Linked DNA regions of Danio rerio. The protein of the gene in region 2 purifies or fractionates together with the protein of the main gene of each other region. This does not show direct contact. Links are inferred from orthologs where the notes say so. Each region holds a gene or a part of one and is shown on either strand. Other genes may lie near its edges.

Region 1 (4,501 bases), on a different chromosome or scaffold from region 2:
GTGGATGTCTCCATTGGCTCCGTCTTACATTCATCACCTGCAGGCTCCTCCTTCTTTATCTAGCGGACCAATCAAAATAAAGGCCAGTTTATACTTTTTATCAAGCGGGTGTGGATGGTGCGTCAGTTTTCCCGCCTTTTTTCTACCTTAAAAGGGTGAGTTTATACTACTTGTACATTAAGTCAGCATTGCACATATTTCCGGAATAAACAAACCATCCGCAAAAAAACTTGCATGGAAACCCCAGTGCCTGCTAGCATTTTAGAAGGGTTACCGCAGATCAGTACAAACAGAGAAGTATAAATGCATGACTACACTCAAGGCATGCACTGTGGGTTATAGCAATCACTCAAACAGAAGTATAATTTAGCCTTAGGGTTAGGGATGGGATAGAAATTAAGCTGGAAAAGAAAGAATCAGTTTTAACATGTAAAAGCTCTTTCCCTCGCTCACCTCTGGTTTCTCCTCAGACTTGATCTCGGTCTGCATGGCGGCCATTTTCCCTGAGGCCTTGTCCTCAGTCTCATTCTCATTCTCTTCCTCTTCATCCTGCTGTTTGACCTCAGTTTTGGAGTCAAGAGGGGCTGTGGGTTCGGATGATGTCAGTTGTGAACTAGGGTCAGCACTGCTGACTGAGGCAGGAGTCGAGGCCTGACCGTCCACAGTCGCAGATGATTTCTGAGAGAGCTGAGGGGTGGTACCACATCAGAACAGCAGATCAGGACAAAAAGCAATGGCACACCGAAATGAAAGGCAACAGCCAAAACAAACCAGCTGTTTCTAAGAAAAATAGCTGAAAATGTAATAATAATTATATATATATATATATATATTTTTTTTTTTTTTGTGGCCTTTTTTAAATAAAGGTACAAAAAATTATAATTTAAGTGATTTATTTTGGTGTTTTAGTTTAATTTGTAAATATTCATTTTTTATTATTATCTACATAACTTTGTCTATTTTAGTACTTTTTAACAATGTTTGATTTATTGTATAATTCTTGTATTGTTTTTTTAAGTTGTTCAGTGACATCAGATGAAAAATAGCCTTCTGGCTAATTCTGGTGCATTTGCAGGAATGCTTATTAATGTACACTGTCCCTGCCAAATAAACAAACAAACATTTGTGGTAAAAACTATCCAACAAATAAAAATAAAAACATTAATTATAAAATATAACCAATTTATTATTTATATACAGTGCTCAGCATATATAAGTACACCCCTGACAAATCAATTTCAATTCAAATTCTGTTTAATAGAGAGCTCTACAATATTATATTTGAGCATATACATTAGATTAGTCAGTACTGAAGCAAAAAGCTGGAGCTTATCTAAAGAAATAACCAAAAATAGCCAAAAACTAGTACACCCAAATTTATATGTTATAGAAAGAAATTAAATACAAATCTAAAAAAAAGGAAAAATCAAGAAAAGCAAAAAAATAAATAAAAATTAAGTTAAAATTTTGTAGATTGAATATTTTTTGCAATATTTTGCTTGAATTTAATTGTATTGTCTATCAATTTCTAAATATGTTTGGTGACTAAAACATTATTTTAATATATATATCTGTTTATTAAATGTGTTTTGTTTAAATGCACCAAAATAGATAGCCTCTATTCATTGAGAAATAGATACAAATATTAATTTTCAAAATTTCAAAACTCAATTATGAAAGAAAGAAAATACTTTTCTTTATTATCTTGATTCTCATCTCTGCTTGATCATTGATTAACTGATTCGCAAGTTCTTTTAAATTCAGCTTCTTCTGCCAGTTGTATTTAGGCTTCATTCATTAATTCATTCTTCTGTCATAGCTGTTAACAAAATGAGTAAGATTTTATTTTCTGCAATAATCCAAAAAGGAATTTGAAAAAAAAAATCTGGATTTTTGCCAATGAATCAGGGTGATGCTAACTGCATCATTTTGGCATGTTTTGTCGTCGTTAACAAACAGGTAATAGTAAATTAAAGTCAGAAGGAATGACTAACAAAACAGTAGCATAGGAGCTGAAGAAAAAAATAGTGGAAAACAGCCATTGGCCAAAAAACAACCTCTCAAATAGCCAAAACTAAAAAGAGATTTTAATGGCTGAATATTTTATAAAGCATCATAGATAATGTAGTGTTCACCACAGATTCCAAAATTAAACCATTTGAAATTTGTAAAATAAAGTGTAAAATGCAGAAAAGGCTTCAACAGAATAAGGTCATACAACATTACACAACATAAGGTCTGTCTTTAAAAGTTTTAGGGTTTTAAAAATGTAAAGTTTCTCTATATATATATAGTGCTTTTACTTATAGAATATTCCCTTTTGCACATTTAAAAAGGTTTAAGAGAGCAAAGAATCCAACACAATCTCAGGGCAATTAGTAATTTGATGTACTGAGAATATTGTATGAATTTATATAACATACAAAAAAAATCAAAAGTCTGACACTTTCATACAATTTTAAAAATTATATTTTAAATAATAATAATAATAATAATAATAATAATAATAATAATAATAATAATAATAATATTATATGCATTCAATTCTAACTAGCCAAGGATTAACCAAAATATAAAATAGCCAATTTTCCAGTGAAATCAGGTTGAAGAATCAACTTAAATGAGCTCAAAATGCTTTAGCGCTTACTCACTGAGTTCATGCTCTTAAATCATTTAATTATAGCCAACTAGTGTAAACAAAGCACATAAGAGATTAATGGTGGAGTTAAGTTATACCACAAGCATTCAAGCACATGGGTCGACTTATACTGAACTCAAATATTTGACCTCTTCACAGTGAAACATGCTCACTTTCTTTATCCAATTTGAATTAATGCTGTTGGTCTCGCTAATACTTTATGCTTCAGGACTCCGTGTCAAAAGGGTCAGTATGTGTTATCGGAAATCAATTAAGTCTCTAATGTTGGGCTTGAGTTGTACTTTCTTGTTATTTACCAAATAAACAGGGTCAAATGAAAACACACTCGATTGTGATACTCACAGGACTATGTGGGTGTGTACAAAGCCCGTGGGCGTTCTGGGAAGGCACAGATGACGCCAGCCCTGTTTGGGGGCCTCCAGTAGCTCCACCTCCATGCGACTGCTGTTGTAACTGACTGGATTTTTCGGAGGCCACCCCCTGTGCCATAGGGGGCAGCTGTGATGCAGGTGGAGCCATAGTGGTGGATGAATTAGGGGTGTGGGGCTGAGGGGTCTGGTTACCAGGCAACTGCGGGGGTGTTTGGTGCGGGGCAGGGGTAGGGGTGAGGCTACGTGCGGGAGAAGGGGAGTTTTGGCGTAAGGGAGGACAGTGCGTGTGCAGACCGGGCTGAGGAGCAGGTGGAGGGTGGTTGGACGGAGGCCCCTGAGGGCCAGCAGCGGCTCCAGAGACTGGGACTGACGACTGGGACTGAGCTACAGGACTATGGACTGATAGTGATGGTGGAGTGGGCATCTGATTCTGAAAAAGACAGAATATAAAAGGATGAATCTGATTGTTTTACAACATTAATAAGTATTTAAAACATTTTCTTTAGTGTTTTAGCTCACTATATAGCTCAATGCATTAGAAATGCTGAAGTGATTGTAAGTTTATGGTTGAGTTCAAGGAATTGGTTTAAAAACAGATTTGAGAGTTCACTTAAAAAAACAGCATTAATACGCCAGTTTGTTTTAAAATGATTCTGTAAATGAATTCTGTGCGTTACTGATTATATTTAGTACATAGGGCTGGGCGACAAAATAGGTATTGGTATTTAATGAGTGAACACGATTGTCAATATTGATCAAAAAAAGTTCAGTATAATGTTTTGTTATCAAGTGCTATAGTTTTATTAAAATGTGGCTGCTGAGCACTGCCAATAAGCTTATGGTGCAAGTTTGTCATTTCCAATGGAGTCGTGTGACTTGCACGTCGTGCATATGGGAGCAACGCACACATGTTGTGCAAGCGGCACACACCTACGCACAATTTCCAGGCGCATATAGTTGAAAATATCACAACTATTCCGAATGCCGCAAGCGTACCACGACTCATGTAAGTAGAACTAACTAATCTGCTTCACACTTATAGAATATATTCACATATTTTCATATTACACACATCTCGATAATAACGGCAGACTAATTACCTCAGACAATCAGAGCGCATCCAAACACTGATGTGCTTTTTACTTTTCTCCATAAACTTGTATCGAAACTGCAGCAATGGTTTGTCTATTTGTCATCCTCTGAGAAAACGGTTAATGCCTTAATGTTAGGGGAGAGCAAGCGCAAATCGCATAGAAAATGGTGAGGGACACCATGCGCTCACACTTGTCACTTCACGTCAGAATAACAACACACACAAAAATGAGTGTCGTGACTAGCAGCAGTTAGAAGATTGTAAATAAAAAAGGATGTAAGTATTGCTAGAGTGGCTTTTTGGTTTCTTTTCTTGTGGTTCCCAGCCACTAGCTCCCCATCTGAAAGATTTTTTTTTAGCTTAGGGGGTAATATAGTC
Region 2 (5,010 bases):
GCAGTTTGACAGACGATTTATCAGAAAAATCAAGTTATTATTTGTTGCTCTTACAAATGGAATTGATGACAAAAATTTGTCAGGTATTGTACAAGGGCAATAGCACAAAAATAATAATTCAATGAAAGGAAAACATAGAAAAAGTAGTAAGTAATAAAAATATAATTAACAACAAGACATCCATTCTCAAATTTTGGTGTAAATAGTAACAAATCATTTAAGATAATACGTTTGAAACTTTTTTCACTTTTTTATTTCTTGTTTTTTTATGTACAAAGGTAGTAATTAATAAGTAAAACTAGGTTATTTATTTCCCATTTACACTTATGAATAATGAATTATAAATAAAGACAATATACAAAATATTGAGATTGAGTCTTCATAATAAAATATACTTAACTTTGAGTTGCAGTTCTATCTTGGTACTTTGTTTCAAGCTAAAAGTAAAATCTTACCAGAATAATCGTCTGTGCTAGATTACATTTAAGAACATTTAACATTTACAAAGATACAATATGAACAAAGAGAGAAAACAAGAGTCTAAAAGTTTAAATGTTTTACAACAAGAAATGCAATATAATTATTCAAGTTTAAGTATTTCACGTATACATCAGAATCCTTCCTAATAATAAAAAAAAAGGATGTTTCTTTGAAAATTTACATTTATAGATATAAAATTTAGCTAGAAAAAGCAATGAACTAATAGTACCTTTACAAAGAGAATGATCTAAGTACAAAGTAACCAAAGAATATAATTTTTGGGGTATATACACAAGTTTGGAGTAAGAATTTAATGAAATTGGAAAAGTCAAACCAAAACACTTTACAGTAAGTACACTCCCGAAATAAATGATTTAGTGTTTTGTTATATTGAGTATAAAATGAGCATTTAAGTGAATAGTGTTATTAAATTTATACAGTTTGGTATTTATTAGGACTCCTTCACCCAGTGGTGTGCAAAAACATAACATGGAATTGACAAATCCAAGTTTCGTTTCTGTTTCTTTCCAGCATTTGATTTTAACTCTCGTTTTCTCGGAAAACGTGTGCTTACCCGATGGCTAGTGGCTGTGCTATGAGTTTCGTAACCTCCCCCTGACAACAAGCATCTCAGCATGAACTTTCTGTTCCGTACGCGTTTTATTGATCATATAGCTATTCTTATGTATCTTAAGAAATAAATAATGAAATGTTATCATCTTATTATGAAGTATTAGTATCCGTCCATCAAAAGGCATAACAACATCTTTGTGTTTCGCTGAGTTTCTGTTCTCTTATCAGTTCCTATTCTGTATTGAGTGTGAGAGTAAAGGGAGGGCTGCGCTTCCCTGGAACAGCCATTGGCTAGGGGGCGTGCTTTTACTGTACGCATCAGAACGTGATTGGTTGTCATCGCTGGTGTATTTAAATATGGCAGTTAAAGCGTTACCATTGGCCTGAGAAGTTAATGTGACATCCACCTCTGTGAGTATTCTATAATTACGAAGTCACTGAGGAGAATAAAAGGCTGAAGCAGACAGTTTAGTCTACGCGTATTTTATCTGCTTATCCCGAGATACACTCCTTTAGTGACTTGACTAAACGTCCACGTTGAAAGGTAATACATGTTATGCGTTTTATATGAGTTTGTTCATGCAAAATGCTATGGGAAAGCTGGAGATAATGAAATGCCACGTAAAGCAGCTTTTTGTTTATAATGTAATGAAATATTAGTGAATGTCATATCATGTAATTTGTAATTTCATTTCATACATTTTAGAAAATGAAAACGTTTTAAATAAGTAAATTAATTGCATAGATTAGAAGCTTTAGGGATCTCTTAAAATAATTTTCTGCTGTAGATGGCTATTTCATTTTCTCATATCTTTTGATCATATCTGCATGACTTTTATGCAAAAGATTTTATATGCATGGGCTTGATGGCTATTAAACTTTTTTACAATTTACAATGAGTTAAAAATAAATCAAACATTTTAAATTGTAAAGTTATAACTACTTTTAATTAAATTATTAATTAAAATAAATAATATTTTATAAAAGTCCCATTTATTGTGAAAAATGTATATATGTATTTATATTCACAACTGGTCAAAAGTTTGGGGTCAGCAGGATTTTAAAATGTTTTAAAATAAGCTTCTCCTGCTCACCAAGGCTGTATTTATTTCATCAAAAATACAGTACAAATAGTAAAATTGTGAAATGTTATTGCACTATAAAATAACTGTTCAAAAGTAGTTTGTCATTTAATTTAATTGTTTATTCCAGTGATTTTAATGATGAATTTCCAGCTTCATTACTCCAGTCTTTAGAGTTCCATGATCCTTTAAAAATCTCTCTAATATTATTTTATTATTATTATTACTGTTATTATTATTATTATTATTATTAATGGAAATAATATTAAAAGCAATAATAACTAAAGTAATAATTTCATAAAACAAGGTGCTTGGTGAGAAATGTCAACGCAGAGAGGGTTGCATAACGGGTTGCAATTTTATGTTTGCAGATGACGCTCTGGAACCAGCTGCAGCTGCTGGACTCAATGTATTTGGAGCAAGTGGACCAGCTTTACGATGAGGCTTTCCCAATGGAGATCCGACAATATCTATGTCACTGGATTGAGAGTCATGACTGGTGAGATTTTAAAATAATGATTAAAAATTTTTTGCATAATAAATTGCTACCAATCATCATCATTTTGAGACAAAGAGCATGTTTACATGGACACCAATAATCCGGACAATTAGGACAATTCTTTGATTAAGAGTAAACAGCGATTTTTGATTAATTTAATCCGATTAAAGTCATAATCGAACTAAACAGAAATGGAATTAAGACATGTGGAGTATGCTGATTTTAGTCGCATTGTTGAAGTGCAGTACAGACATTTAAACACCGCTGTGACAAATCGGTCTTGTTGTGGGAAGAAGTAGACAGGGTCGGCGATATAGTGTAAATGAATGTTTTTTTTTCCACAGTAAAGCAGGTCAACACTTTGGGCCCTATCATACACCCGGTGCAATGAGGCGCAAGGCGCGACTCAAAGGTTGTTTGCTAATTTCTGCATGGTGCAAGAGTCATTTTGACGTTTTGCACCACGTTATTTAAATAACAAATGCATTAGCGCTCATAGGCATTCTGGTCTAAAAAACCAAGTGTATTAAGGCACGTTGCTATTTTAAGGAATTTGTCACAATCAAACAAGATTTAGAGAAGGATCCAAATGCAAGTAACGTGTTTATTTGATGCAGTCAAAACAAACCAACAGGGCTGTATGCGTGTGCAAGGACAACTGGGAAAACAGGGTAGGAAACAGACAGACGAACGGGGTCCTCCTCACAGTCCTAAGCACAGACAGACCCACGAGCAAACACAACGAACTGACAAAGAAACATAGAAGCGTCGCCCAGATATAGGCACGATAGTAAGCCTCAGCTGGTGAGCTAATCAAAACAGAGAGTATAGTCATAGCACGTGACTATAACCAATACACGTGCACAACCAAAACAAAACCCACGTGACCAAACAGACACTCCGAAAGGTGCACAAACCTGCAACCGTGACAGAATTAAATTGTCTGTTCAATAGACCAGATCAAAGCAGGTCTAAAGTCCAGCGCAGAGCAGGTTAGTTGTGCACCTCGCTGACACATTGCTTAATACATACAAGGTGTACAGCAATACACAAATATCTTTACAAATTAAAAAGGATTCAAGGATTAAAATATAACAAAAATATTCTTTTCTAGCCTACATAAATATAAAAACCATAATTTCATGCCTTCTTTATCTCTGGGGGCTTTTTTAGTTTATTCATTACAATTTGCTTTTGTGTAATGTTATTATTATTAGCAGTATTATTTATTATTTACATATTTACATGGGTGTTGCTAGGCCTATTCTACTCAGCCCCCCTAAAACTTTTTGCGATTAGCTCATGAACTGTACACTCAATTATTGCCTCAGTCACCTTTAAATTTAATATGAAACAGCGGCAGAATTCCGCTCCTCCCCTTCTTTTCTTTTTTCATTTGATCAGCAAACCACAGCCGTGGACGTCGAGAGAACAAGGTGTTATAATGTCTGCTTATTAGCAGTTCTTTGATATAGATAACCTTGTATCATCTGTATCCCAGTGTCATGGAGGAGCAGTGGGGTTTTCTCTGCGTTCACCTCATTAGCACAGCTGTTTCCTCCAGCGAAAAAAGTAACTCTTAACGAACATTTCACAATTTTTATTTCAAAATGAACTACCAATAAAAACACTTTACAGTTCGTCTGGCACTAACTATACCATACAGTCTTGCACAAAAAGCATTAAACACAGTGACAGAAGCACTTTGAGAATGTACTCAAAGTTTTAACTGTGACTGAGTCACTGACAGAAATAGAAACATCAAGTGTTGTCTAGTACTAAATGAATACTTCTTATTTATTATCATTCAGATCCTGAAATATGTGAATTAGAAATATGTGAATTAGAATATTATGTTTGTCATTTAATTAGAAAAGTGGCAGTTTATTTATTGAATACCTGAAATGCACAACAAATGCACTCGAATATAGAAAGTGTTTTTTACTATGGTAAACAGGTGGGTTGAGCCTACTTGGCTTACTCAGAACTCAATCTGGCTATGCCTGTCTATGTAATACAATGGAATAATAGTATACAAGCCTTATTAAACAAACATTTTTAAGTGTATTACTATTAAATTACTACTTATAAATGTAATATTAAGCTTTATGTATATATCAATTTTTTTACCTTATAAGGAGCTCAGCCCCCCTAAAATGAAAATCCTTAAATCGCCCCTGCATATTTATATTTGTTTTATTAAAAACAAGCTTATATTTGTCCACTTGTCAGGTTTTAGACCATATGGGGCACAGCATGTGCATTTGGATATAACTCAGTTTTTTGAGCACTCTTCGTTATTATTGTTCATTTATTCGTTTGCTGGTATTTAGAACTGAATTTAGAAATAGTTTTGAAAAAAATCTTTGCGCTTAA
Region 3 (5,144 bases), on a different chromosome or scaffold from region 2:
CTTTTGCTTGTTTGTTATTTGAGAAGTAGAACGCAAGGAAAGTGGCCACATAGAAAGACACTGCAGCGCTGGTAAAGCTAGTGGGTGTTTACAGCGGTTTGACTTATAAATATAAAGTTGTAGCTAAATTGTTAAAAATGCCAAGCAGCATTTCCCATTGTTTATATTCTTGTTTACGTCCTCACTAAAGATACTATTATTGCTAGAAACTGTGCTTGTAGTTGTTCAATTTTAACAAATAAAAATACTCACAGGTTGTGGCTCACAATCCACAACTTTGTCTGTTGAAGGAGTTTTTAGCCGAATCCAGTACTGAACTGAGAAAGATTCTGGAAGTTCTCCTTTATCAAATGCTAACTATATATTTTTTATAATTCTTCAATTGGAACATAATTAAAATTAAACTCTAAGCGCTTCTCTTTTCAAGCCATGTCCTTTAGAATCCCAAAAACAGAAACAGAACATGTTCTGTGGAAAAGCAGCATTTAGACGGCATTTGAGCTTTCTCAAATTCTGTTTTTTTCAGCTCTTGTGATCTCACTAGCCCTGATGTATTTTTTTATAGTCCCCAAATTTATTCACTGTAGGCTTTGCAAAGCTAACTCCCCAATGTCTGCCTTTGCATTAGATTTGAGCATCTTATATTTAGAGATGTTGTTTATGTTCACACAGCTACATTACACATCAACTAAAGTTTAAAATATTATATCTTAGTAGACCACCCCTTCAAACTTGCTACTTCTGAATTTTTTTCTAAATAACAGCTTTTAGCATAACAAAACCATTAAAGCTGTAGGTTTAAGTGGGCTAAGGACGAGGACAATGACAGGATTTTTTTTTTCTTTTATAGTGTAAAGTGTTTTTAATGTTTTTTTTTTTTTTTTTTTTAAATCAGAGAACCAAATGAATGTACATTGCTTTACAGAACAACTCAGATTTTTTTACACTTTTTACTTCAAGGACAGATATGTAGGTTATATATACACCAGCAGGGGTCGTATTTAACAAATAGGTTAACAAATGGTGATAGACTAATACAGTAAGAGGAAATACAGAAACACTATCCTCACAGTTATACTGTGACCATTGTTTTATTCTCTCTCTCTCTCTCTCTCTCTCTCTCTCTCTCTCTCTCTCTCTCTCTCCATATATTTCTCTATAAAATATGCTATCTACTTTACAGTATATGCTGTATAGACCTAGGACGAAATAATTAAGTAAAAAAATTAAAGCATTTTATTTGTGTTAGGCAGTAGCCATGATGAAAATCTAAGTTTAAATAGAATATTAGTAAATGACAGCTAAATCATGGAATACTTTGCATTTCTTAGTTAAACTTTTTTCACTAGATGCCGATTATTGTTTTCCGCTTTTTCTTTTTTCTTCCTTTTTACATTTTTATTTATTTATTTATTTATTTATTTATTTATTTATTTATTTATTTATCTTCGTGTAGGCTTGTATCATAGGCTGGAACCAGAGCTTGAACAAGAAATCCGTGCTATCACGTGATTTCTGGGAAGAGCGGCGTTTTTTTTAAATGAATGAAACTGGCAGAAGGGAAACTGACAGAGTGAGGCACTAAAGTGGGTGTTGCTTTAAAAGTCCTTACGCATTAAGGCATTTAGACTTATTAACCAAAGAAAATATAAAATAATATTACTTAATAATATATCAATCTAATTAATTATATCAATATAAAGCCTACGTTCCAGTACTTTACGCATACGCAAAAACAACTGAAGGCTGCGGCACGACGTCACGTGGAACTGTAGACTTTTCTCATTGCTGTTGAAATCGATGTAGTCACAATCGTTTAAGACGGACGAGGAAAGTCAATTTAAAAAAGGATTTTACTCTACACGTTGTCAATGTTTGTATCCTATGCCTTGATCTGAATAAATGATATTGTATTAATGGCATAATAATAATAATTTGGCACTGTGAGCTGCCGAGCGCCCCTTCAAATCTGAGAGGCATTTAACTAGGCGTAAACAGCCTGGTTCGCTCCACTGCTTTTGCTTTCATTATTTTTTGTGCGATGGGCTGGATAAACTGTGATCTACAGAACGACTGATACTGCACAGGACCGACACTAAAGGTAATTAGAAACAATGTACATAATGTCTATTGTCTAAATGACCTTAATCTAAACTTAGAGTTGTCCATTAATCTCACGTACAGCATTAGAATGCAATTATTTGATGTAAATGTTTTTAAAAGAAAAAAGTTGAACAAACTAAATACCAGGTAACGTTATTTCATTTTCACGCATTGTTTTATACATGTAACTGTAGTAGCTCATATTGTTTACAGACATTCTGTGGTAACTTATTGCAGTTAGGTGTTTATAACTTAGTACCGCCGCTCCCTATAGTGCGCAGGCTTCTTAGGGCACTATAAAGTGGCAATTCTATCGGTGACTCTATTGATTTCCACAAATGAAAAAAAATAAATCGGTTTAAGTCGTAAACGCAGTTTAAAGGAAATGTGAATAGTATAGCTCTGACTGGTCAGTTTTAGATTTCTGGTAACACTTTACAATAAGGTTCATTAGTTAATGTATTTACTAACATGAACTAATCATGAACAACACATGTACAGCATTTATTTATCATAATTGAACATTTAATAATGCATTATTAACATCCAAGTCCATGCTTGTTGACATTAGTTAATGCACCATGAGTTAACATGAACTAACAATGAACAACTGTATTTTCATTAACTAATGTTAACTAGCATGAACAAATACCGTAGTAAATGTATTGTTCATTGTTTGTTCATGTTAGTAAATGCATTAATTAACATTAACTAATGAACCTTATTGTAAAGTGTGACCAGATTTCTTTATTGTTTTATAGATGCTGAAAGTATCAAAGATTAAAACTAATCCACATTCCAACTCGATCAGTTCTAAAATTGCTTTGACATATTGCAAAATTGGAACTCAAATGAATTAAAGTTCTTATTTTTAATAAACCATTATGAATTTGTGTAAATTAAACAAATACATGGTATTTTTTATTGTTACAGGTGTTACAATTATCGTAACTGGAGCTGTCATTGTATGATTCTTTTCAGATGGCATCTGGAAGGATACGCTCCACACGCCGTCTGCGTTCATGGATAGTAGAACAGGTGTGTAAGGAGTGTGCATAACAGATATGATTTCATAGAATCATGTGAATTACATAAGTTAGAAGGAAGAGCAGTTCATTTCTCAGACATTTAGGTTCAAACTGGCATGATAAATGTTTAATATCACCTTTAGCCTCCGTTTTAAAGCTACATGCCGCAAGTCTCCCATTCCGCCACCAGTGTTCTTTAGATGGTGACATGGTGACCCTGGGGGTCATTTGAGGATAGTCAACTGAACCTGTTAGCATGTTTAAGCTACCCGCATTATTTGTGATATGAGATGTACTCTGGTAGTAGCCATAAGATATAAATATTATATTTACAAATGGATGGACATAGTAAAAAACACTCATGTTAGTTGTTTAGTGGTGCTTAAAAGGAGCTCAAAGTGTGCCAAGAAAACATCTACCACACGTCCAGCATCAGCCTGAACTGCCTATACAAGGAAGGGATCAATGTTTTATGTAGTTTACATCAAATTTCGACCTTACATCTGCAGGCCAGGCAACATTTTTGAATCTACTATTGTTAAATTTTGGTTTCCTGTTTGTAGCTGATATAATTGGCACACAGTGTGGTCTTCTGCTTTTGTAGCCCATTTGTTGCAAGTTTTGGCGTGTTGTGCATATAGGGCTTTAGTTATTGTTTAAGATACAACTGATCATGTCAATCAAACACATACAAATTTCAACCTCTAATCCTTACGTCAGTAAATAGCACATTCTGAGAAGTAGTTTTAGATGTTTTTACTGGTTTAAACAGCAAAGTCATGCAATTAATTTCTCGCAAAGCTGTCTAATTCTGCTGTAGTTTGCTGTTGTTGAGTTAGATTTTTATTTTTCATTGTGTGTGCTGTGGGATGTAGGTGAATAGTGGGAAGTATCTCGGCCTGGTTTGGGACAACCCAGAGAAAACCATGTTTCGCATCCCATGGAAACATGCAGGAAAACAAGACTTTCGCAGTGAGGAAGATGCAGCTATTTTCAAGGTACAATGTGTTTTTATTTTCATTTCTCGTTTATCTTTGTTTCTGTCTTTATGGAATTCATGTTAGACAACAGTTAATTCTGGAGTTTCATTGGCTGTTTCTTTAATCCTGCAGTAGTTATATCTCTATAACGAGCGCATTCACCAATTAGTGCAATCAATTGCTCAGACTATGACTTTAAGTCAAGAAGTTTGTATTGAAGGCACAATATGTAAGTTTTTTTTTTTAATAAAATAGTGTTTTCATGATACTGGAATTTGATACCAGTCAGTAATGATATTTTAAACATGTCCATTTCCCGTTTACATTTGAGCGTGTTCTTAAACAGCGCTAATTTGCCATTGTGTTCACAAGCCCAACAGAAATGACTGTGATTGGCCGTGAGGGTCCTTAGATCACCAAGCTCACCACAGTGTAAACTATAGATACAGGGACACTGGAGCATTTCAAAGCCATGAAGATCAGTTGATTCATCATCGAATCGCTCATATGTCAGCTCATAAACAGACCAGCTGATCTTTGTGTTGTCTGTACCGCTTGCTTTCACTTTCAACAGATTATTAATTGGCCTAACGTTAACCGTGTGCGTGTGATCATTCTTTGATAATTACACACGGTATGTATTTCACCTGCTTTCTTTTGCTTACAGTTATTTTTATTGATTTGGTTCAATTAACATTTTTTCAATAACATTGCTTTAATGGGACATTAACTCCCCATTTATGTGTAGCTAACTGGTGATCTGAGAGACCTTTATCTAGGACAGATTACTGTGCATAGTTTTAGATACATGACAATAATTATTTTTTAAAAGTCAATTGTTTTTCTTTTTTTTTTATAATTTTTTTGTTAAATAAAAAGTACAGTATACAGATATATTCTGCTTGTTTTGACACAGCTAAGAAGTAATTATTGTTTGCTGTGGTCAGAGATAAATTAGGTAAATCCTTAATTTTGAGCTCTGAAAAGTCATGTGAAATAATTACTAATTGCAATATAACAATATGAAACCATG

Evidence for each region.
Region 1: the proteins of stat1b (region 2) and ep300b purify together in Homo sapiens (affinity purification with western blotting; 10 studies listed by BioGRID). This does not show direct contact. The link is inferred for Danio rerio from reciprocal best matches to the Homo sapiens genes STAT1 and EP300.
Region 3: the proteins of stat1b (region 2) and irf9 purify together in Homo sapiens (affinity purification with western blotting; 5 studies listed by BioGRID and IntAct, with this or other methods). This does not show direct contact. The link is inferred for Danio rerio from reciprocal best matches to the Homo sapiens genes STAT1 and IRF9.

The regions. Positions count from the first base shown.
Region 1 is NC_133178.1:23,768,064-23,772,564, forward strand, and holds part of ep300b (histone acetyltransferase p300), read right to left. Parts: intron 3,461-4,501; coding exon 3,002-3,460; intron 688-3,001; coding exon 454-687; intron 60-453; coding exon 1-59. UniProt on the Homo sapiens protein: Functions as a histone acetyltransferase and regulates transcription via chromatin remodeling. Acetylates all four core histones in nucleosomes. Histone acetylation gives an epigenetic tag for transcriptional activation.
Region 2 is NC_133184.1:42,946,713-42,951,722, forward strand, and holds the start of stat1b (signal transducer and activator of transcription 1b), read left to right. Parts: upstream 1-1,522; 5' UTR 1,523-2,506; coding exon 2,507-2,634; intron 2,635-5,010. UniProt on the Homo sapiens protein: Signal transducer and transcription activator that mediates cellular responses to interferons (IFNs), cytokine KITLG/SCF and other cytokines and other growth factors.
Region 3 is NC_133187.1:13,853,257-13,858,400, forward strand, and holds the start of irf9 (interferon regulatory factor 9), read left to right. Parts: upstream 1-2,020; 5' UTR 2,021-2,101; intron 2,102-3,036; 5' UTR 3,037-3,084; coding exon 3,085-3,141; intron 3,142-4,006; coding exon 4,007-4,129; intron 4,130-5,144.